3 linked regions of the Tamandua tetradactyla genome follow. The protein of the gene in region 1 purifies or fractionates together with the protein of each later gene. This does not show direct contact. Links are inferred from orthologs where the notes say so. Each region holds a gene or a part of one and is shown on either strand. Other genes may lie near its edges. The genes, in order: SDC2, AMPD2 and PDPK1.

Region 1 (9,795 bases):
CTGGAAGCTTTTGGAGACTTGTTAATTTGTAAGTCTCTTCTTCTTCTTCTCTCTCTCTCTCTCACACACACAAACACACACACACACATGCACGCACATGCATGCACATGCATACACGCACAGTCTGATGGTTTTCTGGCAATGTTAAAAGAAATCCTGCCCAGGAAAAAAAAACATCTTTTGATATCTTTGCCAAACTAATGATTATCCAAGGTGTCATGTGAGTGATCACATTACGAGTCCCCAACAGGCTGCCATTCAAATGGTGAGCGACATCAAAACTTGACCTACCAGGTCCCAGAAGTGGGAGATGGGGGACATGCTCAATTTCCTACTTGGAATATCCACCTCCTGCGAGCCTGATCTTTTAAGATCTTTCCTTCTTAAATGACGTCTCTCTACTTCTAATAGCCAACCAGCAGAGAAAGAGTCCTTGTTTCTATTAAACTCCCCAGCAAAATGAATTGGTTTCATTCCTAGAATGGCCAAAATATATTTTTTAAAGAATAGCAAAAGGCAGTATGATTTCAATTTTTATTTTCCTTTCTGATGCAAACTTTCCAAAGCCAGCCTTTCATAACACACTGGGTCTAAACTGCTTGACGGTTTCTTTTAATTGAGAAACATTTAAACATATGTATAAAATTCCACTAGTCCAAAACACTTCCCTTTTCTTAAAAATATTTCCAGTTCAAGTTATGTGTTTATGGTAGTCTGCAATATATTATTTCTAAAGATAAACAGTCATAAAAAAAAAAACTGGATAGAAAAACAGCAGCATATCACTACCGCCACACTCAGTCAGTCTTTCTCCTTGCATAGTGTTCCAACAGTGAAAGCCCTAACCTGCCGGTGGAAAGTATGAATGCATCACCACGAACAGGCTTTCCCTGGCTAAGCACTGGCTGCTGTGTTCTCACATCCACAAAGGAAGAGCCGCTTGCTCCTTCTCACAGACAGCCTTGAGACTTAGTTCCTGAGAACTACCATTGCCCCCCACCCCCACCCCACCCAAAGCTAAGTATAAAACTCAAGATTTCATTAATGGCAGACTTTTTCCCTTTCTCCCTTGTAAAGAGAGACTACCACTTAAGCACTGACTACCACTCGTTCCAAGTCCCAGGACATAGCTCTCAAGTTGAAATGAGAAGTACTGGAAATAATGCACTACAGTGACTAAACTTTCTAAAATGAACTCTTTTAACTCCATGCTTATTTCTGTTGCTATACATGAAACAAAAAGGTACTGAATAATAATTTAAATTGACGAGTTGTCATTCTGAGCTTTGAAGCAGCTTCTGGAAGAAAAGACTGACTCACTGCCCAGCAAAGACTCTCGGCTATAGTCTGTGAATTGACATTTTAAAAACCTCTAATCACTCTTTGAGATGATATTCCAATTACTGAAAATGTAATCTTCCACAATGAGGCAGCTTACACCAAATGCATACAATTCTGATCAGAACAAACAGACCACATTGATAAATATTAGAACCCCAAATATACAGATTTCAGGGGAAGGGTGTCACCCAGAAGGTGCCAGATACAGTTCAGCCAAAAAGCTTCCTTAAAGAAGCACTGTCAGATTTATGCAAAAACCCAGACAGGCAGACGATAAGAGACATTCTTTCTCTAGAATCCCAAAACAGTAACATTTCCTAAACAAATCACTGAAACCCACTGAACAGGACTGAGAGGGAGGAAAAAAAAGAAAAAGGCTCTACTAACCCTGTACAGCTTTTTAGGCAGGCTGCCTTTGAAAACCCTGAGATAAAGTTCTCCCTTTTGCCCTGTTTTGCAACAAGATGAGCAATAATGTTTATCTGAAATAAACAGAGAATCTGTTCCTTTTTGTGTACACAATGAGCCAAAGTTCATAACTGGTTCGGAGATTACTAATTTCAACCGATTAAAACATCATTTGCTAAAGAGAAATACCCCTAAGGGTCGGAGCTCAGTTTTACAGCCTAAACGCCCAAATAACTCATCTATTCTTTATCACTGACAATTCTAGATGCTCTCCAAACCGAGATAACGTTTGGGGATCTGCTAGTAAGTACGCAGAGGCTCACACACATTAAAATTGCCCAGCCAGTGCCCATTGCCAGAGGGTTTCCCAATCCTAAACTGGTTCACCTCAAAAAGAAGGAAGAAGGAAAAGTAACACCCCAAAAGCGAGGGTGGGGGGGAATCACAAAACAACCTAAAGGCGATATAATTTTTCTTGGGAAGAGACAGTTGAGTTAATTAGAGAAGGAACACTGAAGACTAGGAGGGGCAGAAAGAACGCATTCTCTAGCCTAGCCTCCACACCGCACTGAGGCCGCAGACGGAATCCCGACGCTTGGGCTTCCACTTGCCTGGACCTAGCTCCGGGCGCCTAGGTAGGGCCGTTGAGCAAAGGAAGCCCGGGAAACAGTCCCCTTTAGAGGGCGCTCACCGGACTACGTAGGGCCGCAGAAACCCTACGTAGGGTTTTTTTCTCGACCAAACCGAGAAAAAAAAATTTTTTTTAATCAAGTTTCCATTGCGGGAGCGGGACAGGAGGCTCCGTGCCCGGGACGCGCCGCGGCCAAGGCCCGAGAGGGCGAGCGTGGTCGGCTAGAAGTTTCCCTCCGGTAGCCGGCAGGACGACCTGAAGGCCGAGCGCAGTTTCACACACACCCCGCCTCGCCCTGCTTTCTGCACTCCAGTGCACTTGGAATTAAAATGTCTTCCAGCCCCGAAGGCCCCGCGGGCAGCCCTCCGCCCCGCAAATGGAGAGGGAGGTCGCCAAAGGACTCCAAAGGCCCACGCCCCCGCCACTTAGCCGCGCGTTCCGCGCACTCCTCGCGTTCTCCTACGGGCCGGCAGCGTTTCCAAGTCGCGACGGCTACCTCGCCCCAGCCAGAGGGAAAATTAAACAAAAGAACTTTTGGAAACTTTCCTCTCGGGCAATTGCAGGTTTCTCAAATCTGGGGCCCATCTCCCCAGATCCTACATTCTGTACAGCCGGAAGGATAGCCTGGGGTAATGGTGTGTGGAGGACGGAGCCCCAAAGTTTCCAGCTCATCCCTGAGTCGCACGGAGCGCACAGAGACGTCCTATTCCTTCGGGAGTTCTGCTCCTGCTCCAGTCTCCGGCCACCCCTCAATCCCCACCCCGATCCTTCCCGGGCCACGCAGCAAAACACCCTGAGAGCGAAGTTGGGAGTGACTTCAGTAACCTCTGCAGTTGGACAAAACTGCCACTCTCGCGCTCCCATCCCGAGGGACCTCGCGGCAACCCAAGCGAAGGGCGCCTTTCTGCGGGCAGGGTAGGAAGAGGGAAAAGGGGTGGAGAAGCGAGCGCATTTCTCCCAGCAGATCCCCGGGGACCGAGCGCGGCATCTAGGAATGGGATCCCTCAGGTGACGCTCCCCGATTCCCCCGGGACACCGCGGACTCCTCTCGCGGCCCCAAACACCCTGAACCGTGCATGCGACCCCCGCTGGCCCACTCACCGACTCCGCCGACACGCACGCCACCAAGCCCAAGGTGAGCAGGATCCACGCGCGCCGCATATTCCTTGGTGACCGGTTGCTCCTAGCCTCCGCTTGCAACGAGGGTGAAATGAAGCCTCCTGCCTAGCGCCCCGCGCGGCCCGCGCAGAGGGATCCGGAGTGGAGGAGCAGCAGCAGCGACAGCAGCAAAAGCTCGGGGCTCAGGGGCGCTCGCTGCCTTCTCCTGCGCCTGCTCCTGCTGCCGGCGGCTGCGCCCCAGGAACGCGGTGCCTTCTCACTTGTTGGTTTCTGGACTCCCGATGCCGAGTTGTTGCTCTGGGGAGGCTATCTGGAGCTGTTTCTCGGCTGCTGTTTTATTCCTCCGCGGCCTCGTTCCCCGTATCGCGGCTTAGTTTCTGATTTTAAGGAATAAATTAGAAGGCTTGCAATAAGGAGGGAGCTGGAGTTTAGTGGCAGTGCGGTTGGGGCGCGCGGTCCGCCGCGCTGGAGCTCCGGGAGTATCTGGAGAGAAGCTAGTCCGCGCTGGGCTAGTGGCTCCGCGGCTGCGCCCCTCCTCCCCCCCACCGCCGCCTCCCTCCCGAGTCCTCCTCCTCCTCTTTTCCTCCCCCTCCCTCCCTCCCTCCAGAGCTTGCTTCTCCCGGCTCCTCCGGGCGTCTGGGTGAGAGGAGGCGGCAGTGTGACTCCCAGTTAAACCCGGGAGAAATTCCTACAGGATTACGCCCCGATTGGCAGCTCCTAGGGCCAGTGGGCGTTTGCGGCTCGGCGCTGTGGCTGTTCGGTGGCTGCTAGTTCACAAACCTGTGCTCCTTCATTTCTCACCCCCTCTTCCTCGTCTCTCCCCACCCCCAGCCCCCCACTTTTCCTTTCTCTTCATCCAGCTGTTCTGTTTTCTTTTCTTTCTCCTTTCCTTCACTTTCATATTTCTCTCTCTAGAAAGATAGTGAAGAAATGAGAGATATTTAGCTTTCTGCCAACAAGAATTAGAACAGTGGAAAGAAAACCGTTTTGAGAGTTCAAAAAAATAATTAAACTCTTTTTTTACAGATAAAAGTTCACAGATGTTTCCAGGCAATGAGAAGTATATCTAAATCGCCAATTCATGAAAATTGTATTTTTAAGCAGAGGACACTTAATAAATGTATGTATTAAGAGTATTTCCCACACCGACAGTAATTCTTTTTCCTCCCCCTTCAAAAATAATAATAATAATAAGTGGAGGAAGGCTCCTATAAACCCTAAATGCAAGTTTCAAAGGTAATAATTTCATTAAGGGCTTAAATACCATTTCTGCCTCACACACAGCTTCAGCCTCTAAGGCATTTTGCAGGCTCCATTTCAGCATAGAAGTGTCAACGTTTGAAAGCTAAAACAGGGCAATTTGATGAGAAACTGGATAGCCACCCAGATTTAAGACCTTCAAAGGAAAGAGAGCTAAAATATTTTCTAGTTTAAAGAAAATAAGGCGCATGTATTTCCTGAATGTAAATAACTGATACGAAATATTTTGTTATAAAGTTACTGTATTTCTTTCAAGTCAATGTCTATGGTGTACTATAGAACTTGGCTAATGAATAGTCCCTTCCAGTTTCTACCACCATCTTGCTCTGTGACTTATGGAGGGAATGAATTATGAAGCCATTCTGCTCCTAGAATGCCCACTCCAACAGACCCAGGTACCTTTCTGTCTTGTTCACCACTTTATTCCTCTTGTTGACACATAAAGGGCACGCAATACATGTCTCTTGAGTAAATTTTGTTGTAAAGCTCAGTCTATACTGAATAAGAGTAGTAAGACTTTAAAATACATATATAGGGATCCATAGATACTGGGCCATGGTAATTTTTGAACTTAGTCTTAGAGTTAGATACAGTCATATCCTAAATGAGAATTGCAAAGTCTGAGCAATCTATCACTTTAATAAATTCGAGAGAAAGAAATTTGTAGAACTGGAGAATTAACATCTCAAATTGGAAACATCTAGTTGTTTGGTTTTTATGGCCAACTACCAAGCTCCAAGTGCCCAGGGGCAAATCTAAGGCATAGGCAGACAAAAAGATATGTATTGCAACAGGCAAACAAACAAACAAAAAAAAAAACAGAGAAAGAGAAGGAGACTGAAAGTTATAACATCAGATGCTTCTGATTCCTCAGAAGATGATCCTGCACTTGCACCCTTTGTGAGGCCAGCGTGCTCTTTGAAAGATTGTACTATAGCCATATTTTAAGGTGAAATATTGTGGGTTGAAGAATTTCATAACATGGGGAGACTTCTCAAAGGAGAGTCCAAGGGAAAATGTGTGGGAAAATACAAAGAACCATAAAATGTGAGCTCTACCCCCATAGGGACCTAATCTGCTCTCCAGCCATCAGGCAAGGCCATACCCCTTTCATTTCCAACAGCTAAGAACCCATCAAATTAATTAGAATTCTAATCAGATGGGAAAGTACACATTTGCTGGCTCTGATGACTAGTGCTGTGGTTTGGGGCATCCTCCTAGCTTGAAGCAAGGTGACTGCTCTCTGATTCAGCTTGAACTAAATGAATAAAAATGAGTAAAGCAGATACATGTGTTGAAGGGGTGTATCTGTCTCTTTACCAAAGACACACACCAAGGTCCTTGATGTCTATGAGACTCTCAATGCCTTTTTGTTGGGTTTGTCTTCAAATGATAATGTGACTTTGAGAACATATACACCAAATGAATTTGGTACCCTTTTTTTGTTTTTGCATGGGCAGGCACCAGGAATTGAACCCGGGTCTCCAGCATGGCAGGAGAGAATTCTGCCACTGAGCCACCATCACACCACCCAATTTGGTACCTTTTTAGGAGTCACACAATCTCAAGTTTTGATATGATAGCTAGTCAAGCTCTTATGTTCAAATGCATTAACAGATGTGGCTCAGGGGATAATCTAACGGTATAAAAAGCACTAATCATAAAAGCACTTGCACGAAAACTGGTTGCAAATGCCTTGCCTACATTAAGTGAGGAGCACATTGGGAGAGGGATATGGGGGTTTGGGGAGACGGTGTAGAAGGTAGATGATGTCTACTAGTGTTAGTCAGAAGCAAGTCTAAATTTGGAGATGACAAAGACCCTTATGTGTTTTGTTATTGGGCTTTTTTTCTTTTTAACTGATGCAAATCAAATTCTGTAGAATTTTGTGAAATATACCTAATACACTAGTTCAGCTCATGACTAGAGCCTAAAGGTACCTGGCTACTGTATGTTTTCCAATTCACCAGTTTGAAGCTATACTTTGAGGGACACAGCAAATAAAGTAGTTTAACCAACCAAATAGCTTCACTGGTTGCTAAAAGAACAAGCAACTTACCTTAAGAATCTCAGAGGAAAATATTTAAAAGTTAAAATAAATATAGATTAAGATGCTGATATGTAGAAAGCAGGAGTTAAAGAGGACCAAGTAAAATGAAATAATAGAAATGAAAGATACCCAAGACATACTTTTAGTTTTTTGTTGTTTACCTAAAATTGATGACCTAGCCTCTTCTATAATGGTATCTAGTAATATTACTCTATGACCTTGGACAAGCAGGTGCTTCATCCCACGTGAGCTGTACAAGTTGGGGAAACTGCAAAGGTAGAAAGATGCCACTTTGTTGTTCTCGGTTGTTCTGTCACTCGCCACTCCCTGGAATGTTATCAGGGATGTTGGCTAGAAATCCACTTGGAGCATTAAGCCTGACTAAATTCACTTGAAAGATGATGGACCTGGAGTATAAGAGAAAATCCAGCCAACCAAATATGAATTAGTTATGCTATTAATGGCAAGTGAGCTGACACCATGACAAAAATCTACAGGTGATGCAAAAAAATCTTTATTTAGCCTCATTTTTTCCCATTGTTCTCTTCATTCACCTCCACCAATCCTTTGCCAGGGACGTTGACTGATTTGAGTTTCAGCTCCCCTCCCTTTCACAACTTGACATGGTGCTAATGTTGAACAAAACTGCCACATTTTCGACAGCAGGCAACAGGGAAGAACCTCAAGGAACTATATAATATACAGTTACCCGCTGAATAAACCAAGAGGCAAAACACCTACATAGGTTTCTTAAAGTCTGGAAAACCTTGACAATCATTCGTTCATTCAACAAACATTTGGATGACCTGCCACAGTGCCTACACGAAGGGTAGGCACATAAATTTTCTTGAAACATATTTGGAGTTAATTACATATTAAACCTAAGAGTTTCCCCAAATCACAAGTCTGTGCCTGAGATATATGATTAATTTCATCCTCAAATTAGTTATGAAATTTTAAAGAAGCACATATTTTATCGAATGCATCATTTCTGGTTGTGTCAGTTTGAATCTGTGGTGGACCCCAGAAAAGCTATGTCCTTTAATTCTCATTCAATATTGCTAACTGGGAGCTTTTGATTGTTCTCATGGAGCTGTGACCTACCCAGTTGTGGGTAGTACTTTTGATTAGATGATGTCCATGGAGGTGTGTCTCTACCCATTCAAGGTGGGGTTGCTCACTTGAGCCCTGTAAGAGGGAACCATTTTGGAAAAAGCTTTAGGGCCCATACAGCCAGAGACCTTTGGAGACGAAGTAGGAAAACACCCCTAGGAGAGCTTCATGAAACAAGAAGCCTGGAGAGAAAGCTAGCAGAGATCGCCATGTTTGCCATGTCCCCTTCGAGTTGAGAGAGAAACTCTGAATGCCATCGGTCTTCTTGAACCAAGGTATCTTTCCCTGGATGCCTTAAATTGGACATTTCTATAGCCTTGCTTTAGTTAGGACATTTTCACAATCTTAGAACTGTGCACTTGCAACTTAATAAATTCCTCCTTTTTTAAAGGCCATTCTTTTCTGGTATATCACATTCTGGCAGCTAGCAAACTAGAATATTGGTCCTCACACACTATTTTTCTCAGAGCCCTACTTGGATATATGGATTTAAGACCTTTAACAGAGAGATAGCTCCAAGTCATTTGCATTGTGTTTATATATCCAGTTGGACAGGAAAATCTCCTGTTGACTGACTCCATGTAAAATGGAACTACTCTATTACTACTGTCTATAGATCAGTCCTCTTGTGGCAGCTAGCATCAGCCCCATTCCTTGTTCTTAGAGAATCATCTTCTCCCAAAGCCTTGGAGGGGAGCCCTATACACTAAATGGTCGTTGTTCCTAATTGTGTAGACCACAGCTGGACAATTGATGTGGGGGAGACAATTATTGGTAGGGAGTCTCCTCTGTTCTTCCTAAACAACAGACCATTAAGATAATTAATTCTCACCTATTATTTACAAACTAGGATAGAAACATTGCTCTTAGAAGTATGTTCTGTTATATCGAAAAGAACAAGCAAAAAGCTAAATATAATTAAGAATGGCATAGGAAACCAGAGTACATATCATCCTATCTTTTTAAAAATTATGCACCATGAAAATGTTAAACCCAAGGAAAGAGTATAAAATTCCAAAATTGCAAGTTTTGAAATAGACTGAAATATAATTAAGTTGTGAAAAAGAATTAAATCCTGTGAATTCTGATAGAAATAGGGAAAGTGTTGTTTCTGCGAAGGAAAAACACAATCTCTCACAGTCTGAATTTATAATGTCTACTGTTTGCTCTTCCTTTTCTTGTTGTGATTAGTAATACAAATGACAAAGGAAGGGATGTTTTCTGCAGATTTCATTCCAGCAAGTTGCATTATAAAAGTGGCTCTTTCACCCTCTCCCTTTTCCCCTCAACTCACCACACACACAGCCCAACACCGCAACACCCTGAGATGACCTCTGGCCCCTTATTACCTCCCTCCTCATATAACCCTATATGGATACGCACACATGTCCTTGTACAGGCAAGTTTTTTGTTGTGTTCTTGCTAGTTTTACAAAAGTTCTGTCACATTAAACACACTTTCTTCGTCTTATAGAATGCCCTCCAAGTTACCTGGCAGAACTTCTATTCATTTTTTAAGGTGACCATATATTATCTCTAAGTGTGAGTATTTGTGGGAGGTTGAATTAAGTACTCAGTTTAGACATGTCCTTAATCTTAATCTGCATTCCTGTGGTTGTGAACCTGTTGTGATTGGGATCTCTTGAAGGTGTTGTTTTCAGTTAAGGTGTTGTGGCCCTACAGAATAAGGCTGCGTCTTAATGCAGACTGCTTTATAAAGAGAAAGAAACCAGAAGCCAGAGTCAGAGAATCACAGGGAGGAGTCAGAAGCCAGAAGTCAAAGGAACTCAAAAAAGAGAAGGAAGAGAACCTCGCCATGGGACGTGAGGCAAGGCTATAAGCCAGAGAACTGCAAGGATGACGGGCAACCAGCA
Region 2 (10,680 bases), on another chromosome or scaffold:
TGTCCACCTACAGGGGAGACGGGAGGCGGCTGGGTCCACCAGAGGCCCGGCCAGGAAGGTCAGGGCAGCACGATGGAAGAGGCCTCACAAACTGGATCTGGGGGTGGCAAGGGGTGGGGAGGGGACGCCAGCCCTTGAGGTGGAAGCTGGGCGAGGGCCTATGTCGAGGGCAGTGAGGGCCCACCTTGCGGATGTTGTAGAAATCTCGGTGTGGCACCTTCTTCTGGGCGGCCAGCTCCTTCATCTCGTTGAGCAGCACGTGCATCTGGAACTTGGAGCTCAGGTACTGCAGCCGGCGGTAGCAGAACGACTTTCTGGGCAGGGGGTTGGGGAGACAACAAGGTAAGGGACTCAGGATGCAAAGGAGGCGCCATGGGTGGGGAGGCCTGGGTAGCAGACGGAGGGAGGGGACAATAGGGTCAGGCTGAGGGACAGATGAGTACGGGGGAACTGCCTAGGTGTGGGGTCTGAGGCAGGACACCCAAGGGGGCGGGGCTCACATGGGGCCGTTGATAATCAGGGCCATCAGCACATTGACATCAGCCACAAATTCCTGCAGGTCGGGGTACGGCAGCTCCAGCTCTGAGCAACTGGCATGTGGGGGAAACTGGGCTGAGGAGAGCAAGCCGGGCCCTCCAGCCCCTCCCCGGGGCCAAAGCAACCTCCCAAGCACCTTCCCCCAACCCAGGCCAGCCCCTCTTACTGCTCATCGAGCTCCCTGCGCGTGTAGACGTGTACCACGCCACGCACCATGCGCAGGCCAAAGCCCAGGTCCCCGGGCATGGTGCTGGGCTCGCAGTGCTCGTAGGGGTGCTGCTCCAGCGCAGGGGGGTGCACCGGGGCGTCTGCGGGGTGTGAAGGTGGAGTCAGGGCCAGGCCCCGTGGGAGGTGAGACACCAAAGGACCCCGAAGGGCTGCTCCCACCCCAACCTCTAACCCCTGCCCTCCCAGCGCCCCACCAAGAAGCCAGGGTGAGCCCAGATGGGTGGAGAAGCAGACAGAGCAGAGGCTCCTGGGTCCTGAGCTCAGGGAGCCCGGGAGATGCAGGCACTTGGATGGGGCAGGGATGCGGGGCCCTACCAGCAGACACGGGCGTCTCAGGGCCCTGCTCATAGGTCCGCGTCTCCAGAGGCTTCTCAGCCAGCTGCTGCAGATAGCGGCGGGTGGTGGGGCAGCAGCTCTGCAGCGCCAGCGCCATGTACTTCTCCCTGATGAACAGGGCCCGCACCACACTTTTGGCTGCGTCCAGCAGGTCTGTGAATGGCACCTGGAGGCAGGGACGTGTGATCACCCGCCTGGACCTCTGACCCCAGGCCCCTTCTCCCCATCTGCACAGGCCCTAATCCCAGAAACATTCAGACCACGCGGTCCTGGTGCGTTCACACCACCCCGGCTTTGAAAAGGAGAACCAGGGCCACCAGCCTCCACCCCCAACTCCCTGGGCTGGACGGGCTCCTGGGGACACCTAGGGGTGGAGACCCAAGCCCCGCCCCACACTCACGCCACACTTCTCCTCCCCGGAGATGGTGACCCGTTGGAACTCCCTTTCCAGCAGCCCGTCACGCTCCCGCAGGCCCCGGTCACCCTGGCCCTCGCCCTGCTCCTTGTACAGCCTGCACGGGGACGTGGATGGGGATGGGTGGGGGCCAGCAGCAGCCCAGGTCCCACCTCAGCATCCCCCTCGCCCCTCTGCCCTGCTCACTGTAAGTCTGAGTCACTATCAGTCTTCAGGAAGTCTTGCTTGGCCCGAAGCAAAATGTCCGGCTCCAGCCTGGAGGTGAAAGGGGTGAGAGGTCGGGCAGATGCATTCCCCTCCCCCAGCCCCCAGCACCAGGCCTGGAAGCACACAGGTGCCTGTCACCATGACCTCCACGGAGGGAGAACCCCCTGCCACGGGCACTGGTCCTACCCCACTTTAGAGCCGAGACAACAGACCCACAAGTTAAGCAACATGTTCCAGGGCACAGTGGTGGGCAGAACACGGAACGAAAGCTCCAGCAGCCTGGCTCCACAGCTCATGCTCTAGGCTGCCTCCCAGGGGGCCCCCAAGGGAGAGGGGAAGGGAAGGGGACCAAGGAGGGGCTCAGCAGGCTAGGCTGTGGCCAGGCCCTGGAGGCCGGGGGAGCGCACTTGACGTCCTGGCTGATCTGCCGCTCCAGGCGCTGCCGCCGCTCCTCCAGCTGCTCGATGGGGCTCTCCTCGGGGAACTCGTAGGGGGCGCTCCGGAGCTCGCTCTCGGCCAGCGAGCGGCTGAACAGCTCCTGGTGGGAGGAAGGCAGGCGCAGCCAGGAGAGGGTCAGAGCCCGGCCTTGGCCCCTGGGGTCCTCCCCGGCAGGGCCTCAGACAGGCTGAGAGCAACAGGAGGTGGGGACCCGGGACCCCAAAGGATGGGGAGGGGCAGCTGGGGTAGGGGCTGAAGGGGGCAGAGGCAGGGCGTGGGGACCCCCGCGGTGAGGGGACATGGGGCGGGGCCAGGCGATACCTCGGCGATCTCCTTGCATTTGCCATCCATGGAAGTGCGCAGGTCGAGGGGGAAGTGCTTGAGGCAGGGGGCGGGCCCCGGCACGGAGCGGGCGGACTGCAGCGGAGGGGCTCCCAGCCCACTCCGGGCCTCTGTGGAGACAGTGGTTGGGTCAGTGGACTGGGGGCGGGAGTGGACAGAGCCTGGGTGTCCGTAGAAGCCCTGTGTCCCTGCCCGTCCCAGGCCAACCCTGAAGAAAGGCCAAAATGGGCCCAGAAAGCGGGTCCCTGGGGCTGAGGAGTGAGCCTGCATGTGGGTTTCACAAGCTTTACCCTCACAGTGCAACCAGGGGGCCCCTCGCCCACTCCAGGCTGGGGTTGGGGGTCGTGAGTCTGGCCATGGAACAAGTGGATTCATTCACTGCGAGAATAAGAACCTGAACCCTGAACCGAGAACTAGGGCCCACACCCCCTGCTGTGAGAACCTCCCGTTAAGCACCTCCCCCAGGTGAGTGCCTGACATGCGTGCACGTGTGCAAAGGCGCACACACAGCAGACACTCACCAAGGACCGGGTGGCCCCACAGGGATGCCCAGCCCACAGCTCCCGGGGCAGGCAGTCCAGGACAAGACCTGCCTCTTACTAGATCTCCACCCAGAGAAGCAGGGCCCCCACCTGGTAGCACAGTCCTGTAAACCACAGGGGAAGCCACTAGCTCTGACCTAGGGACCAGCCCTCAAGGGAGGAAGAGAGGAAATGGAGGACCTGGTTGGCAGCAGGAACCCTGCCTCCTCCCTGGAGGCCTGCCCTCTCCCCCAGGACCCCAGGGCTGCCAAGATGTGGCCTGGCCCCAGCCTGGCCCTCCCACTGCTGGCTGCCCCTCCAAAGGGAGCTGCCACAAACAGCCTGCGCCACTGGGAGGCCCCAGGATCTGGGCCGGAGGCCCCACGGAGGGCCTGGGAAGGGGAGTATCAGAAGCCAGGGGTCTCTCTCCATTGAGGGGCAGAACTCTCCAGTTGCACCATCAGTAGGCTGGCACCATAAGCCTTGAAGCTGCTGGCCTGTTGGGGCTGCCTGAGCTCCCAGCCCACCCTGAGGGGCCTCCCTCAAGCTCTCCAGCCTCAACCTCACGGGTGGGAAACTCCTCCACACTCAACCTGGCTCTCCCAGCCAGCTCTGGGGGTGCTCCCCTCCAGACCCCTCCCTTCCCCTTTCTGCCCTGGCTTCAGGAAGGACTGAGGGATCTGCCTAGGTAGCATGCCTTAAAGTCTCTGTGCCCACTTCCCGGTACTCCAGAGTCTGGTCCCCAGGCCAGATAAAAGGAAGAGAGAGATGAAGTGCCACCCCAGATCCAGGACCCAGACGTCCACTCACACGCGCCCCTGCCCCAGCCCTACCTGCCGAGTTCAGGCAGCTCCAGCCAGCAGCCCTACGCCCCTTGCCCGCCGGCTTGCTGAGTGAAGCTGCAGCCTGTCCCCCAGGACAGCTCAGGGGCCGGCACGGGCTGTACCAAGTGCAGCTGCAAGGAGGGGAGACCCTGGGATGGCGGCAAGCAGAGGCTGGAGTTCAGGGGAGCCCAAGAATTAGGGAAGGGGCCTCAAAGTTGGGAGTTAAGAGGAACCCCTAAACTGACAGTGCCTTAACCTGTGCAGTGCCAGAGCCCAGTCAAATGTGAGGGCCCCCAAGGAGGAAGAACAGGGTTTTCTGATATGGGTGGGACAGACTGGCAGGGAGGGGCCAAGCCTTCTTAAAATCCACTGCCCTAGACAACTGAGAGTGGGCAGGGCCTGGCTGGCCAAAGGGTAGGGGGAAGGAAAAGGAAGGCAGGACAGCTCTCCTCAGCTCACACTCATCGGCCCAGGCCCTGTTGCCCACCATAGACTGTCCTCTGGGCCCCGCCTGGGAGGTCCCTCCAGGGAGTCAGGGGAGCTGGGGAGAGGAGCTGGCTGGTAGCCAGGGCAACGGCCTAGCCCTGTTTGGAGTCAGTTACTGGGAAGTCAGGGCTTCCCACTGCCCACCTTCTCAGGGGTAGCCATGAGATCTCCAACCCTTGCCCCAGACTTAAGTTGGGGACAGGACAAATGGTCGAGAAGGAGAGTTTTGAGAGAAGAACGTCTAGAATTTGGAGGACTTAGTTTGACTCTGTAGTCTACTTCTGGAGTCTTCAAGTCCTTATATAAGTGGGTTGATAAGCGGTTCCTGCCCTGCTCTGCCAGAGCTGCCAAGAAAGGCTCCCGGAGATAAAGACTCCCAGAGATAAATGGCTCAGCCAGGGTTCTGCACTGTGCCAAGAAGGATGTGCAATTATGAACTCCTGGGACCCTCAAAACACTTTCCACACGTAGTCCCACCCACTGGAGCCAGGGCAACTGGCAAAGGGCAGAGAAGAGGACAGAATTTGGCAGGGAAGTTGTGACAGGGAGTGATGCTGTCTCTTACTTGGTGGAGGGCAGAGCAGGAAGGGAAAGGAAGATGGGTACCTGCTCCACCCCCAGGGTGGAAGGCAGAGTCTAAGGTTCTTGCTTGTCCAAGTACCTGATGCTACATATGTCCTCCCCACACTTGTAAGCCCTCACGGGGAAGCAGAGCACAGACTTCCATGGCTGATCTGTGCTGGGTCCTCAAGATCTGAGCCAAAAGCCCTAATTTTGATCCTTTCTCCCAGAGAGGTGGCCTGGAGCCTCCAAGGCTATGTGGAGGGTGACAAGTTCCAGCAGCCAGAGCCATCCCCCCAGACCTGCCACAACACTGCACAGGGCTGCCAGGGATGCAGCGCCTCCAGTGGAAGTAACATGAAGGAGCAAACTTCAGGCTCTAGGAGGTCAGGGCCTAGAAGGCTCAGCTAGCTGCCTGTGGTCCCTTGTCCCATGTCCAGTGCTACTAGGATCCTGCCTATAGTATCCCCACACCCATCCACACAGGGGAGAATCAACCAAAAGCCCACCAGTCCATACACACAGCCACTCCACAGGCATTCCAGCAACTCCAGAATTCTGGGTACCCCATCTTCCTCTCGTCCAGTAGTCTCTCACTCCCTGCCAAGGAGGCCTCAGTAGGCACGGAGGTACCCCAGGCTGGTACTCACGAGTCTCAGATGCTCTGACCCTTTTACCACCCAAAGTTCTCTGGTTCAGCAATAGGGCAACTAGTACAGCCCCAGCCCCAGGGAACATACCTTCTGGATGGCACAGACCTGGCCTCGGGACAGTACAGGTCTTGGGCCAGGCATCTTCAATGGCATAAACAACAAAGGAGGGAGATGCTCAGGCTATAGGGACAGACAGTTGCTAGGAGACGTAGGGGGTGTACGCTTGACCTGGTCCTCAGCCACCGGGCCTGGGGGCACTGGGTGGCAGGCAGACCTGTATCAAGCACAGACTCTGGGAGCCAAGCCCTCACCAACACAGGGACTGCTGCACCACACCACCTGCTCCAAAGTGCTTGCTCCAAATGGTGCAGAGATTCCTACCAGAGGGGGAGCCGAATCAAAGGGTACAGAGATACCCGCAGCACAGCCTGAACACCCGAGACAGGCCTGACCGAAGGACACCCCATACTCGAGAAGGCTCCCACGCACAGACCAGGAATGAGCAAACATACAGCTGAGTCTCCCAGCTCTCGGTTGCCAGCCAGCAATAGGTGCACCCTGATGTCAAGACTCCGCTATCGAGGTCGGGGGTCCTGGAAAGAGGAGCCAGTCACAGAAGGACAGCCTGAGCCTGCCTGGTGATGCACAGCCACCAATCGGTGTGGCTGGTCCAAAAACCAGACAGCCAGCCCTACACACACCTCCTACTCCCACTCCATTCACACACACTCCACATGCAAACATTTGTCGAAGCACATCCACACGCTGACATGTGTGCAAACACACCTCTTGCTGAATCCACTCCTTGTTACAGAGGACAATGTCCGGGACACCTAAACCTCAGTCACCCCCACCCGACCTTCCTCCCCATGCCACCTCTCAAGTCAGCTCTCCCTGGTACTGAGGCCGAGGGGCACAACCATAGAGGGTACCAGAGAAGGCCCCCACCCCACCCCCACCCCCATCTCTGAGGGGCCATTGGTCTGAATGAGAAGAGGTGAGACAGAGCGTGTGTCCAAGGCCGGGAAGCACAGACTCACCCTGTACTGCAGCGGAGGCCTGCAGGCTGGCCCGCTTCTTAAAGGGATATTTGGCTTTGGACTTGCTGGGGGCAGATGCATAGGATGCCATGGCTGGGGCTGCACGATGGCGGGCGGGGGGCGTCTGAGCAGCACCGGCAAGAGCCTCACTCTGCCACATCCAACCTCTTCCTCCGCCCCGCCCCCAGCGGGAGTGACTGATGCAGGAAGCAGAGGCCCCGCAGGCGGAAGAGGCCCTGGCCACGATTTCTGATGTTGTCTAGGCAACCTGGCACAGAGGTTGCCTCCTTCCCCACCCCTCACCCCTCCCCTCCCTTCCTCAGCCCCTGGAGTGCCAGGACTGATGGTGGATGGCCCTGGGGGGGGAGGGGGGTGGAGAAAGAGAAAATCGGATGGAGAAAGGCCAGCACCCAGCTCTCCACAAACCCCGCCAGGAAGCCTCCTCACCCTTTGCCAGGGCTTCAGGGCAAAGTCCAGGTGAGCTGGTCCAGCCAGCCCGAGAGAAAGCATAATGAACAGGAACCCAGCCCCTGCCTTCACGCTCAGCACACATTCCTCTCAGGGCAGGCAGAGTGGCTCACTCTTCCCTGAAAACCCTGCCCGTCTCTGCGGCAGAGCCTCGGGTTTTGCTTCTCCGGGGAGGATGGGGTAGAACTGAGAGAGGAGCGAGGCGCCGGGAGCCGCTGTCCGGCAGACGGGACCCGCCAGGACGGCAGGGCGGCCAGGAGGAGCTCGTCTGGAGGTCTGTGAAAGACACCCCCGTCTCTTCTGACTCCCCTCTGTCTTTCCACACACAGGCGCTCCTTCCCAGAACGAGCCGGCCGCCTTCCCTCGGTCCTCCTGTCATCCTGCCTCCCGCACTGCCCTAGCCCGGAGGCCCTCCCCGCAACCCACGCGCACTCACCTGAGGCCATGCTGCCAGAGTCCCGAGGGGCCCCGGGAAGGCTGCCCGCAAAGGGACAAGCTGGGACTCGAGGGGAGGTCGGGGCGCTGGGTCCCAGACCCCGGCCGAGTCGCTGCGGCGGGCCCTGCCCTGGCACCGCGGTGGGGGAAATAAGGCAGGTCTTCCAGAGCGGGGGCGCGGACGCCCACCGGCCGCGGCGGCGCCGCTGCTCCGGCTAGCCGGGACCCCAAGGCCGGCGCGCGAGAGGCGGGCACACCACGTGCTCCCCAGAGAGCGGCACCCGGAACTCGGCCCGGCTTCTCCCCAACCCGCCCCGGGTACTTGGACTGGGACGTCGGTAGCTGGACCGTGGGGGAGTCACGCAACAGGTGCGACCCCACTAGAAGCTCGCCCGCGCCGCGCCGGTATCTGTGGCCCCGCCCTGGCCAGGCCCCGCCCCCGCCACTTTTCCGCTTCCCGGGCGCCACGTGGGCTGCTTCCACCCCGCAGCCCGCCTGGCGGGGCCTCCCGGTATTGGGCAAGTTCATAACCCTTCTGTGCGTCAGCTTCCTCGTTAGTAGATGGAATGCGGGAATGACAGTACCTCACTCAAAGGGGTTATTGTGAGGATTAAATGTAAAACCCCCTTGCACAGTGCCTGGCACATGGTCAGCGCCCAATAAAAAGTAGCTATTATTAGTGTCCCAGGATTCACTTTGAGCCGTAGAAGCCCAGCATTCCCACTCTAGGTCCTCTGTTCTCTTCTGGCAGGCCTAGGTAGGCACGGTGTGCCCTGCTATTCTGGCTCCCCTTTCCTCATTTATTTCTATATTTGGTGGCAAAGGGATTAGCATCTGTAACCAGATTGCTGGGTTCAAATCCAGGCCCCTCCACCCCCTGACTGAAGTTGGGCAAGTTCCTCAACTTTTCTGTGCTTCCATTTCATCTGTGAGTGTAAGAGTACCTGCTTTATGGTGGTGGTTAGGCTAAAGAGCTAGTACGTGTAAAGTGCTCATACTTGTGCCTGGCCTTTAGTCACAACTCAGTGTTTACATCTCGATCACGGCTATGTCCTAGGCTTTGATTTCTTACGGACAGGTTGATTCAACCTCCAGCCTATAAAGAAGTGGACGTTTGGGGGATGCTGCAGATACTCCAATCAGCTAGTACCCGCACCCCCAAGTGGCAGAAAAACTTACCTAAAGGGAACTTGTGGAGGGAAAGGTTAAATCCATAAGATTTCCCTACATAAAACTAAGTGCCCAATAATAACAATTAGAACAATCTCTTCCCTATTTCTCACCCTTATGGAAGGGCCCTTTGACACCCCCACCCCCCCCAACACACATCCAGTTGAACTGTTTACCCCCTCCCAGTTCTCACCACCCCCACAGCCAAGCTTCTTCTTCCAAATCTTGCCTCCCCCAACTCTCCCCAGGCTGGATTCTGGACATTGAACCTTATTCTCTACCTACATCCAGTGTTACCTCTTTTGATCCTCTGTCCACTTGCTCTTTGCCCTGGACAAACTACAAAAACAATAGCCTCCATAGACATACACACAGGAAGTCCACCTCAGATAGACATACACACAGGAAGTCCACCTCAGAATCAACACAACTAATAAGAAAACAAGGAGATTCCATGTTTTAACTATCAAATTAGCAAGATAGGTAAAAAAAAAAAAAAAAGATCATCCTAATGCAGTTAGTGAGATGGGACACACACACACACACACACACACACACACACACACACGGTTGTGGATATAAACACTGAACAAACCTTTCTGAAAGCCATTTGGCAATATATACCCAAGAGTTTAAAAGTTCATTACTATTAGACCCAGTACTTCCACATCAAGGAATTACTCTTGAAGTGTAAAGAGTAATTCTTTTTTAAAGCTGCCAGAAAAAAAAATTTTTTTTTAATAGAACAGATTTCAGAGTTTGGTAGGGGTCACAGTTCCAAATTTTGGGTTTTTACTTCTAGCTACCCAAAGACACTGGAGACTAAATGAAATACCGATCTAGTGATTCAGCAATCATACTCATTTGTTAAATCCTATCTTCTCTGTTACAACTCCACCTTCTCCTTTGATCTTTCTCCAGTCTGTAGGGGTTATTTGGGCTATGCCCATTCTGACTTTCTCATGTTGGAAAGGGCTGTTGATAATATGGGATAGAGGGATGGAACTAGTTGATGTTCTGGAGAGTTTGGCCCCTCTAGGTTTCAGGACTTATCTGGCCTAGAAGCCCCAACTGGAGGTTGTAGGTTTCTGGAAAGTAATCACAGTGCATGAAACTTTGGAGAATCTCAGATAGTGCCCTACATGTTCTTTAGGATTGGCAGGAAATTTTGGTTCAGGTTTGGCAAACCAGTAAATAGCAGTATCTAGCTGAAGCTTAGGTAAGACTCCCCTCCAGAGTGGCCTCTCGACTCTATTTGAACTCTCTCAGCCACTGATACCTTATTTGTTACAATTCTATTCCCCCTTTTGGTCAGGAAGGCATTGTCAATTCCACAGTGCCAGGGCCAGTCTCAACCCTGGGAGTTATCTCCCACACTGTCAGGGAGCCTTTCTCCCCTGGATGTCATGTCCCACATAGGGGGGGAAGTTCTTTTTTTAAAGCTGCCAGAAAAATATATATGAATAAAATTTGTTCATCACTGCAATGTTTTATCACACAGAAAAGCTGGAAACTTAAAGGTTCAGCAATAAGAGAATGTTTAAATTATGTGAAAGGCATACAATGAAATAGAGACATTAAAATAGTTCTTGGAGATTTTTTTTAATGATATGGAAATATTTACAATATAAATGTAGGTAAAAAGAAGTACACGTTATGGTTCCTGCTTATGCGCACATTGCTAAGCCGCCATCTTGGCCCCCTCCTCTGTAATATATATGTATAGAAAAATAAACATACCTACAAGTTTACAAATGATTGTCTTGTGAGTGATGGGTTCATGTATATTTATTTTCTTCTTTATACTTTCCTGCATCTAAAAAACTGTCTACAGTGCATCCATTACTTTTATTATCAAGGGGAAGGAAAAAAACATCAAAAATCTGTAAAAATCTAATAACCTACATACACACACTGGCATCCCTAGGTCTTAATCCCAGACTTAAAACTATTTTAATATAGTCCCCTACACTGGTCTTGGGGCCTTTAGGAATTTTGAGGTTGTGAGGCTCTCAACAA
Region 3 (10,417 bases), on another chromosome or scaffold:
TGGAAATAACATGCTTGTTCATTCTCCAGTGGGCCATGCGCTCAGCACAGACTGCTAGTATCGGACTCATCAAATGTTTTCATTAAGTATAACGTGCTGTACTGTTGGTTCCAACTGCTGTGGGTCTGTAGATAATCTATTTACATATACATCTGACTGAGTTTCTCTAAGGGGTTTGAAGTTCATAAATGTAAATCAGAGAGAATGCAATATCTCTCTGAAACAAGATTCAATGGTAGCTTAAAACTACCTGGAATTTCTTGGAGTAAAAATTTCAATTAAAATATTAGGAAAGCTTTCTAAGACTAAGAGTGGAAACAGACTTTGCTCAACTAAATAAATGCAACAGTGTCAAACACAGAAAAATAGACCTGGAGAACCATCATGAACCCAAACAAGTTTCTCTTCTTTAAGATACTATCATCAAAACAGAGTCCCCCATTGATGGAACCAATTCTTCAAACTGTTACTCTGAGAAAGTGTACTCTGCCTGTTTATCTAACAGCTAGAGACCTAATACACAACCATTCCTCAGTAGTCAAATAATTTAAAGAAAAGGGCCTGGTATCACACTGAAAAAGAATGTTATCCAGTTTCAAAAAAATACACTACTGAAAAGACCTGAATAATAAATGTTCGAAAATTAGTTTCCACACTAGCTACTTCCTCCCCTGTGAACTGCCCTTTGAACCTGCCTGGCTTCAAAACAACTGCGCCCATGCGCCCCGCTGACGCCTGGTATCAAGAGGGCAGGTGCACGGTATGCGGTACACGCGGGCCTCAACCCCTCGCACCTGCAGAGGGAGTCACTTCAGCACTGAGGGTCTCTCAACAGCAAGTACTTGGTCTAGAGGCAGAACTGAAAGAGTACGTGGAATTCTGTCAAAGCACATTTGCTCTAAAGATACCCTTCAGAAATGGGGAAAGTGTCATGCTAGCAAACAATCCTAACCATAGAATCGCCCAATCAATCATACACTTGCCAAATTCTGTCTCACACTGGGGTCAGTCTGCTGGCCTACGTGCACCCAACCCCGATCAGTTTGCTGACGGAGCTGGTTGAGGGGCACAGACTGAAAAAGGGTTCACACCCAGGAACCTCTTTTTCCTCTTCCCCAAACTGAAGGCAGCCTAGAGGCCAAAGGCATGACTTATATAGCTGTAGACCGCTTTCCAGAGGTTTTTCTGGGATTCTTCTCGTAAACCCATGTGAGAAAGCAAAACAGACCTCCCCCTTCACCCCTTATTGGTACTGGGATCTCACCTGCCAGCTCTGAACTCAGCTCCATAACTGCTGCAAGAGCTTCCTGGGGACAGAAATCAACATGCTGCAGTCACACAAAAAGCCACCCAAAAGGGAATCAGAAACCACTTCGTTCCATGCCCTGCTTTTCCCACTGCCTTTCCCATGAATGCAGCAATACTTCTGAAAGTTAGCACCACCCAAGTGTGGGAGGGAACGACCCTGGCCCCCGAATTCTACCTTTCACAGAATCATTGCACACTGCAGTTCTGCTAAGGGAGGATTCCAAGCCTCACCCATTCAGAATACCAGCTCTCAAATAAGGATAAACCAGAGCCTCTTCCCAAACAGTTGCTTTCCCACAGCATGGGGCTAAGGCGACTCTGAGGGTCACGGAGTTCAGCCATCTGCCTAAGGAAATAAATAAGTGTAATGTCCTTCCATGTGAAGATATCCCTCCTGCCTCCAGCATGACACAGTCAGGACATTCAGGCGCGATCCTCTGGAAGACATCCCGGGCAGAGGCACCAAGGGCTTCTTTAAGCTGAGCGCTGAACTGTACTCCCGGGAGACGCTCCCTCTGGGAGTCCCTCACCCAAGGGGCAGTGTGACACCGGGATTCTCCCGTCTCTCAGACTCGAGCGCAAACTGCACTGCGTTATTTACAAGGCAGATACTTAACCTCTCTGCATGTCAGCTAACCCCCCTGTAAAGTGGAAATGACACCTTCCTCCAAGACTGTTGATACCACAGGACAACTCAGTGTGCAGCACTAGCAAGGCGCCTGCCTTCACCTGAGTGCTTTAACAAATGGAACAGACAGCTTTCAGTGCATCTTAGTACCAACCTGGGCTACACCATTTTCTAACTGCACAACTTACACTGCTCCCTCTCTTGGCAGTACACTTAGAAAGGCCTGGGAAAAATAACCGTTGAGATAGGGGTCTTCATCTACGTCCCTAGAGAGGATGTGAACCCACTCAAACTATGGAAAAGCCAGTATCAGGCCCACCTCTGAAGGGGAACATGGTACATTCTCACTTACGTATGTTTGGAATCGATTTGACAAAGTCGCAAAAGCCTGGTTTCTCTCACTTCCTGATGTGAAGGACTATTTTTTTCTCACTGGTTTTCAGCGTTTTTTGCACTAAACAGCTGCCATATGCAGAGAAAAGTGCCAACGTTAGGCATCAATACATCACATAGAACTTCCAAGGCCTGGAGAAAATGTGCTCTTTCCCCTCCCATGGATGCCATCAAAGCATGCACCTTGCATTGCAACAGCATTCCTGTGTGAAAGTTCATTTTACAAACTTCCACAACCACCGTCCTCCCTAGCCACCAGTCCGATGAGCCAAACAGCCTGATTCAGAGTTTTGCGTCAGCCCAGGCCCCCCGGGGCATAGCCACCCATGTCGCAACCATCAATGACATCCCTGTCACCCTTCACCATTTTCCTCAACTAAATGGGTCCTCCTTTCAGATTTTGGATCAATGCAGTTTAGCCCATCTGTACAGACCAGAGTTCTTAACCACCAAGAAGCTGCAGGACAGGACGTTCAGGAACCTTCCCAAGTAGTAACTGAATTTGGTGCAGCTGTGTACTTTCCTCAGCGCACTTTCCCATACCTTTCATCAATGTCTCAAAGGGGTCCAGGAGCCCTACCACTGACCCCCCCAAAAGTTAAGAATCCCTACAGTAAAGAGGTGTCCTGGAAGATAAGAGAACAAGTTAACTTAATGGGTGTTCCTTCAATTAAGGAATTTATTTGCTTTTTAAAGCAAATTTTGCAGGATGTCTAAACTTCTTCCACCACTCACTTCACATTCACACGTAAGATATAAAATTCTTCAACCATCTTCCCCAAACTCCAGAATTTAACAGAGTGAAGATATAAACACGCTAGAGATACTTTTAGCAACAGGGAGAAAACACAGAAACACTCGTGATACTTTCAGGAAAACACTTAACCCAACAAGTGTTACTGGTTTGCTTTTATCCCTAAAATCCCCTCCTACCTGTCAAGCTCCTTTTCCCTTCGGTGCTAGGTCCAAGCTCGGCTCCCAAGGGCTTCCCATAACACTGAAGCCTGAGGCCGGGAGCAGAGCCACAAGGTAGGAAAAGTAAAAGCACCCAAAAGTCCCTCACCTGGCCGTGAAGGGCGAGTTTATCGGGCTCTATCCGAACTCAAAATCTGGTAACGAGATCCCGGGAGCAGCCGGTGCTCGGGACAAGCGCTCGCATCTCCTGCATCTGCTGCTCGGCCCGGGAGCCGGGACGTAGTTCCAGGTGAAGGCCCGGGGCGGCTCCTCGCGGGCAGAACCGAAAGGGCATCCCGGAGGCCCGGCTCCAGGCCGCGTCGCGCCGAAAACAAACTTTCCAGGCACTTCCACCCGCCGGGCCGGGTGACACCTCCCCGGCCTCGCCCGCCCTCCGCGCGTCTGTCAGCGTCCCCCGCCAGGGCCGGCGCCCGCCGCAGCCAGCCCGGCTCCCCGCAGCCGCCGAGTGGCGCCCCGGCCGGCGCCCGCTCCCCCGGCCCGGCTCGCCCGGCCTGGCCCCAGGTGAGGCGCCGCCCGGCCCGCGGGACCCCGGGCCGCCCCGCCTCGCCGGGCCCGGGCGGCCGCCGGGCCCGACGAGGCCCAGAGGCCGGCGCGCCCGCCCCGCCGCCGCACACTCACCAGCTGGCTGGTGGTCCTGGCCATGGGCCCCGCGTCGGCGCGGGCCCTCCCCCGCAGCGCTGCGCGGCTCGGCGCCTCCTCAGCGTCCTCCTCCCCGCCGCGGAGCCCCAGCAATGGCCGCCCTCATCCTGCGCCCGCCCCGCCGCCCCCCGCCCTCGGCGCAGCCCCGCCCCCGCGCGACGCTGGCCGGGACTTCCGCTGCGCGGCCGCCGTCGCCCTCTCCCATTGGCCGCACAGGCCGTCACTCCACCGCGGCCCCGGCCGACCCCGCCCCCGCCCAGGGAGCCGCACTTCCGGGTTGGGGCCCGCCGGGTGGGAAGGGCTGGTCCCCGCCGAGGGGAGGACCTGCGTGGGCCAATCCCGGGGTCTGCGAGTCGGGGCGGGGACAGGGCGAGCTGTCATCCCGGGCTCGCAGTTGGGGAAGCCGAGGCTCGGAGGGGCCTGGACTTGGGCCAAGGTCACGCCGGAGGCACCGAAGGAGCATGGTTCTCACCCCTGCACCGTCTCTAGGGCGGGTCCTTGAGGAACTTTTCTAGTTAAAAACGAATGCGTTATTAAACTTTCCCACCTGGGAAACCCCTAATACACTCAAACATTAGGGACTCCCAAGTTAATAGGCCAGGCCCCTGATCTTGAGGCTAGCTCTTGTGAAGCTTATTTATGTAAGAGAAACTAAGGCTACCTATGGTTATGCCTAAGAGTTAACCTCCAGAAAATCTCTTTGGTTGCTCAGATGTGGCCTCTTTCTAAGCCCAACTCTGCAAAGAAAATACCTTACATGGAATATGACGTCCAAGGGTGAAAGTCTCCCTGGGACGGCCAAACATGACTTCCAGGGTGAATCTGGCCCTGGCACTGTGGGATCAATAATGCCATCCTGACCAAAAGGGGGAAAAGACATGTAACAAAATAAGCCATCAGTTGCTATGAAAGTTCAAATAGAGTCTAGAGGCTATTCTGGAGACTACTCTTAAGCTAACTTCAGCTAAATATTGCTGAATTGCAATGGTTTGCCAACCCCCAACCAACACCATTCCTGTTAACCCTAAAGAACATTCAGGGCTGTTATTTGAGATCCTACAGAAGTTTCTTGCACTAAGTTTACTTTCCAGGTGGTCCCTAGACCAGATAAGTCCTGAAACCCAGAGGGCCCAGCCTCTCCAGAACATCAACTAGTTCCATCCCCCTATGTTGACATCCTTTTCCAGCATAAAAAAGTTGGAATGGCCAGAGCCCAAATAGCCCTGAAGAGTGGGAGAAAGATCAAAGGAGGAGGAGGAGTATAACAGAGAAGACAGGATTTAACAAATGAGTATGACTGCTGAATCATTATGTTGCTATTTCTTTTAGTCTCCAGTGTCTTGGAGGAACTAGAAGGAAAAACCTGAAATTGTGGATCTGTAACCCATACCAAACTTTGAAATCTATTCTATAAATATTTGTAGAATCTACTTTGAAATGTATTGCTTCTTTGTATATGTTATATTTCACAATAAAAATGTTTTTAAAAAATGAACGCATTGAAGGACATTTTGGTCATAAAGACGCATTTATAAGGCAGAAAACAAAGCCATCTCATCATTGCAAATAGTCCAGGAACATCCTCAGAACTTTTTTCTTTGCCTAGGCATGTATTTCTTATTTTTGTGGTTGTTATTGTTGTTGATGATGATGCTGTCTTCAAATTAGGATCATCCTTGTAACCTAAGGCTTTCATAGTGCTAAATAACCTGTTTTTTGTGTGTATCTGTTCTAGTTTGCTAGCTGCCAGAACGCAAAATACCAGAAACAGAATGATTTTTAAAAAGGGGAATTTAACAAGTTGCTAGTTAACAGTTCTAAAGCCGAGAAAATGTCCCAATTAAAACAAGTCTTTAGAAATGTCCAATCTAAGGCATCCAGGGAAAGATACCTTGGTTTAAGAAGGCCAATGACGTTCAGGGTCTATCTCTCTAGTGAGAAGGTACATGGCAAACACGGTCAGGGCTTGTCTCTCAGCTGGAAGGGCATATGGCGAACACAGCGTCATCTGCTAGCTTTCTCTCCTGGCTTCCTATTTCATGAAGCTCCCCGGGAGGCATTTTCCTTCTTCATTTCCAAAGGTTGCTGGCTAGTGGATTCTCTGCCTCATGGTGCTGCAGCATTCTCTGCTCTCTCCTTCATTCCCCAAAATGTTTCCTCTTTTATAGGACTGCAGAAACTAATCAAGACCCACCCAAATGGGTGGAGACATGTCGTCACCTAATCCAGTTTAACAACCACTCTTGATGAAATCCCACCTCCAGGGGGATGCTCTAATTACAGATTCAAACATACAATACTGAATAGGGATTAGAAGAAACGGCTGCCTTTACAAAATGAGATTAGGTTTAAAATGTGGCTTTTCTAGGGTACATCCATCATTTCAAACCAGCACGATATCCAAAGCAATATATCTGAATTTTTTTAATGATCCTTTAGATAACACAGAGTAATAACAATGAAATAAACTCACCCATTATCCCACGTGGCTAGACTGAATTGTTCAAGAGGAGTAGTAGCTGCTAACATTTATTCAGCGCTTACTCTAAGTAAGGATGTTCAGGCCTAAACCCATTTACCCTCACAAACACCCCCACCACTGTCACCCCACTTTTCAGACGAAGAAGCAGAGGTCACAAAGTGTCAGGACAAGAATCTAGACACATAGGATACCTTAAGAAACAATAACAGATTCCGCGGGTCAAGATGGCGGCTTAACAACGTGCGCATTTTAGTTCATCCTCCAGAACAACTGCTAAATAACCAGAAACAGTACAGAACAGCTCCTGGGGCCATGTCGGTGGCCGGACACACAGTGTACCCCAGTCTGGACCGGCTGGACCGGCTACGAGCACCCCCCAAAACCATGAGTTCCCAAAGCTGCGGCGGCCAGCGCCCCTCCCCGACAGGCCGCTTCCCAGAGGGGAAAGGAAAGGACTTTACCAGCAGCAGGGACTGGGCACAATCAAACGCCAATTGTGGAACTAATTAACAAATTCTGACTACTAAAAATAGGCCCCCAGCTTAGGTGAACCCAATCAAAGCGGAGGTTGCTCATTTTTGCCCCGGCACCAAGGGGGCAGGCCTGACAGAAAAAGGGGGGAAGAAAGAAGGAAACAGGTTTTTGTGGCTATATATCTACAAAGGCTTGACTGCCTCTGCATACAGCCGCAGGACTTTTCAGGCTGCAACTGCCCCAGGCATAGGCAGAAGTGAGCTCTTCTGGGGGCTTATCTGGAGCCTGTGCCTTCCCCAGGGGAGGGGTGAAGCCCCACCCAGGTGGAATCCCTCCATCAAGGAATTCAGACACCAGTGCTTGGTAATTTGAAGCCATTAAAACCAGCCTACAACCTCTCCTCTGTCTCCAACAAACCCCCAGCCAAAGTTAAAGGTACCGCATCATCTTATGCTGGTGGGACCTGCAGTCAGACAAGCGCCACATACTGGGCAGGATAAGAAAAACAGAGTCCAGAGACTTCACAGGAAAGTCTTTCAACCTGCTGGGTCTCATGCTCAGGGAAAACCAATGCAGGTGACTCTTTCCTCCTGATAGGAAGCCAGTTTGGTCTGGGAAAATCTGGCTGGGATCTATAATATCTAAGCAGACCCTCCTAAGTGTGTGAAGGGGAAAGCAGCACAAGAAACAAGAAAACAAGAACAGAAAAATTCTCCTCTGTTAAACAAAACTTAAGCTAAAGGTCCAGATAAAGCTGAACAGAATGTCAAAGAACAGATAGACAACAAATTCATCCAGCAAGAAAACCCTAGATAAAAGAAGTGAAAGCAATCTCCAGAATAAACTAATTAAGGTAATTAAATGCCTAGACGCCAGCAAAAAATAACAAATCACACTAAGGAAATTGACCCAGTCAAAGGAACAAACCAACAATTCAAATGACATACAGGAGCTGAAACAACTAATTCAGAATATACGAACAGACATGGAAAACCTCATCAAAAACCAAATCAATGAATTGAGGAAGGATATAAAGAAGGCAAGGAAGGAACAAAAAGAAGAAACTGAAAGCCTAAAAAAACAAATCACAGAACTTATGGGAATGAAAGACACAGTAGAAGAGATGAAAAAAACAATGGAAATCTACAATGGTAGATTTCGAGAGGCAGAACATAGGATTAATGAACCGGAGGACAGAACATCTGAAATCCAACAAGAAACAGAAACTATAGGGAAAAAAAAGGAAAAATATGAGCAGGGACTCAGGGAATTGAAAGACAATATGAAGCGCATGAATATACGTGTTGTGGGTGTCCCAGAAGGAGAAGAGAAGGGAAAAGGAGGAGAAAAACTAATGGAGGAAATTATCACTGAAAATTTCCCAACTCTTATGAAAGACTTAAAATTACAGATCCAAGAAGTGCAGCGCACCCCAAAGAGAATAGATCCAAATAGACGTACTCCAAGACATTTAATAATCAGAATGTCAGAGGTCACAGAGAAAGACAGGATCTTGAAAGCAGCAAGAGAAAAGCAATCCATCACATACAAGGGAAGCCCAATAAGACTATGCGCAGATCTCTCAGCAGAAACCGTGGAGGCGAGAAGACAGTGGGATAATATAATTAAATTATTAAAAGAGAAAAACTGCCAACCAAGAATTCTATATCCAGCAAAATTGTCCTTCAAAAATGAGGGAGAAATGAAAATATTTTCAGACAAAAAATCACTGAGAGAATTTGTGACCAAGAGACCAGCTCTGCAAGAAATACTAAAGGGAGCACTAGAGACAGATACAAAGACAGAAGAGAGAAGTGTGGAGAAGAGTGTAGAAAGGAAGACCATGAGTAAAGGTAAAAGGAAGGAAAATTAGATATGACATATAAAATCCAGAAGGCAAAATAGTAGAAGAAAGTACTACCCATGCAGTAATAACACTGAATGTTAATGGATTAAACTCTCTAATCAAAAGACATAGTCTGGGGCGGGCCGCGGTGGCTCAGCGGGCAAAGTGCTTGCCTGCTATGCCGGAGGACCTCAGTTCGATTCCCGGCCCCAGCCCATGTAACGAAAACGGAGAAACAGAATACAATAAAACAAGAAAATGTTTAAAGATGTTTCCCTTTCTTCCTTCCTTCCTTCCTTCTCTCTGTCTTTCCTTTAAAAAAAAAAAAAAAAAAAAAAAAAAGACATAGTCTGGCAGAATGGTTTAAAAAACAGGACCCATCTATATGCTGTCTCTACTCAAAGGTCACGAGGCCAAGGACACAAATGGACATTTACATGTTTATAGCAGCATTATTAACAATTACCAAGTGATGGAAACAGCCAAAATGTCCATCAACAGACACTTGACTAAACAAACTGTGACATTTACATAAGATGGAATATTATGCAGCTGTAAGACAGAATAAAGTTATGAAGTATGTAACAACATGAATGGACCTTAAGCACATTATGCTGAGTGTGATTAGCCAGAAACAAAAGGACAAATACTGTATGGTCTCACTGACATGAACTGACGTTAGTGAATAAACTTAGAATATTTCCTTGGTAACAGAGACCATCAGGAGATAGAAATAGGGTGAGATATTGGGTGATTGGAGCTGAAGGGATACAGATTGTGCAACAGGACTGAATATAAAATCTCAGATATGGACAGCACAATACTACCTAACAGTAATGTAATTATGTTAAAACACTGAATGAACCTGCATGTGAGAATGATAGAGGGAGGAGGACTGGGGACATAAATGAAATCAGAAAGAAAGATAGATGGTAAAGATCGAGATGGTATAATCTAGGAATGCCTAGAGTGTATAATAATAGTGAAATGTACAATGTACAAATTTAAGAAATGTTTTTGCCTGAGGAAGAACAAAGGAATTTCATTATTGCAGGGTGTTGAAAATAGATAATTAATACTTTAAAATGTCACCTTATGTGTGAGACTAAAGCAAAAAATGTTTATTTGTTACAAAATTTATATTTTGACTAGAGCATTTCCTAATATAACTCATGTAGATAGTTTGAGTGAATGTCATAAGTACTTGGAATCTCAGGTAGCATATGAGATTTTGTTGGTTTGTCCAGAGTGATGCCCTGATGAATCCCAGAGTGATTTGATCAGTGACTGGAAAAGTATTTGCAAGCCCCCTTCGGGGAATGGTGAGAGTGGGGAGAAATTCAACTTCCCCAAGTTGAATTCTTGATATTCTCACAAGCAGTGTGGACAACCAAAGCTATAGGCTGAGCCCCCAGGCTTGGGATTTGTTCACATGAAACTTAACCTCACAAAGGATAGGTCAAGTCTACTTAAAATTTAGGCCTAAGAGTCACCCCCAAGAGAGCCTCTTTTGTTGCTCAGATGTGGCCTCTCTCTCCAGCCAAAACAACGAGCAGTCTCACCACCCTTTCCCTCTCTGTGTGGGACATGACTCCCAGGGGTGTGGACCTTCCTGGCAATGTGGGACAGACATCCTGGAATGAGCTGAGACTCAGCATCAAGGGACTGAGAA

Evidence for each region.
Region 2: the proteins of SDC2 (region 1) and AMPD2 purify together in Homo sapiens (co-immunoprecipitation; 3 studies listed by BioGRID and IntAct, counting the BioPlex papers as one, with this or other methods). This does not show direct contact. The link is inferred for Tamandua tetradactyla from reciprocal best matches to the Homo sapiens genes SDC2 and AMPD2.
Region 3: the proteins of SDC2 (region 1) and PDPK1 purify together in Homo sapiens (affinity purification with mass spectrometry; 4 studies listed by BioGRID and IntAct, counting the BioPlex papers as one, with this or other methods). This does not show direct contact. The link is inferred for Tamandua tetradactyla from reciprocal best matches to the Homo sapiens genes SDC2 and PDPK1.

Annotation. Positions count from the first base shown.
Region 1 is NC_135332.1:140,322,549-140,332,343, reverse strand, and holds the start of SDC2 (syndecan-2), read right to left. Parts: upstream 4,030-9,795; 5' UTR 3,542-4,029; coding exon 3,482-3,541; intron 1-3,481. UniProt on the Homo sapiens protein: Cell surface proteoglycan which regulates dendritic arbor morphogenesis.
Region 2 is NC_135337.1:13,230,765-13,241,444, forward strand, and holds the start of AMPD2 (AMP deaminase 2), read right to left. Parts: upstream 3,852-10,680; 5' UTR 2,879-3,851; coding exon 2,483-2,878; intron 2,262-2,482; coding exon 2,131-2,261; intron 1,772-2,130; coding exon 1,703-1,771; intron 1,614-1,702; coding exon 1,502-1,613; intron 1,268-1,501; coding exon 1,081-1,267; intron 846-1,080; coding exon 704-845; intron 591-703; coding exon 501-590; intron 315-500; coding exon 185-314; intron 8-184; coding exon 1-7. UniProt on the Homo sapiens protein: AMP deaminase plays a critical role in energy metabolism. Catalyzes the deamination of AMP to IMP and plays an important role in the purine nucleotide cycle.
Region 3 is NC_135349.1:54,877,631-54,888,047, forward strand, and holds the start of PDPK1 (3-phosphoinositide-dependent protein kinase 1), read right to left. Parts: upstream 4,053-10,417; 5' UTR 3,947-4,052; coding exon 3,923-3,946; intron 3,602-3,922; exon of another isoform or gene 3,393-3,601; intron 1-3,392. UniProt on the Homo sapiens protein: Serine/threonine kinase which acts as a master kinase, phosphorylating and activating a subgroup of the AGC family of protein kinases.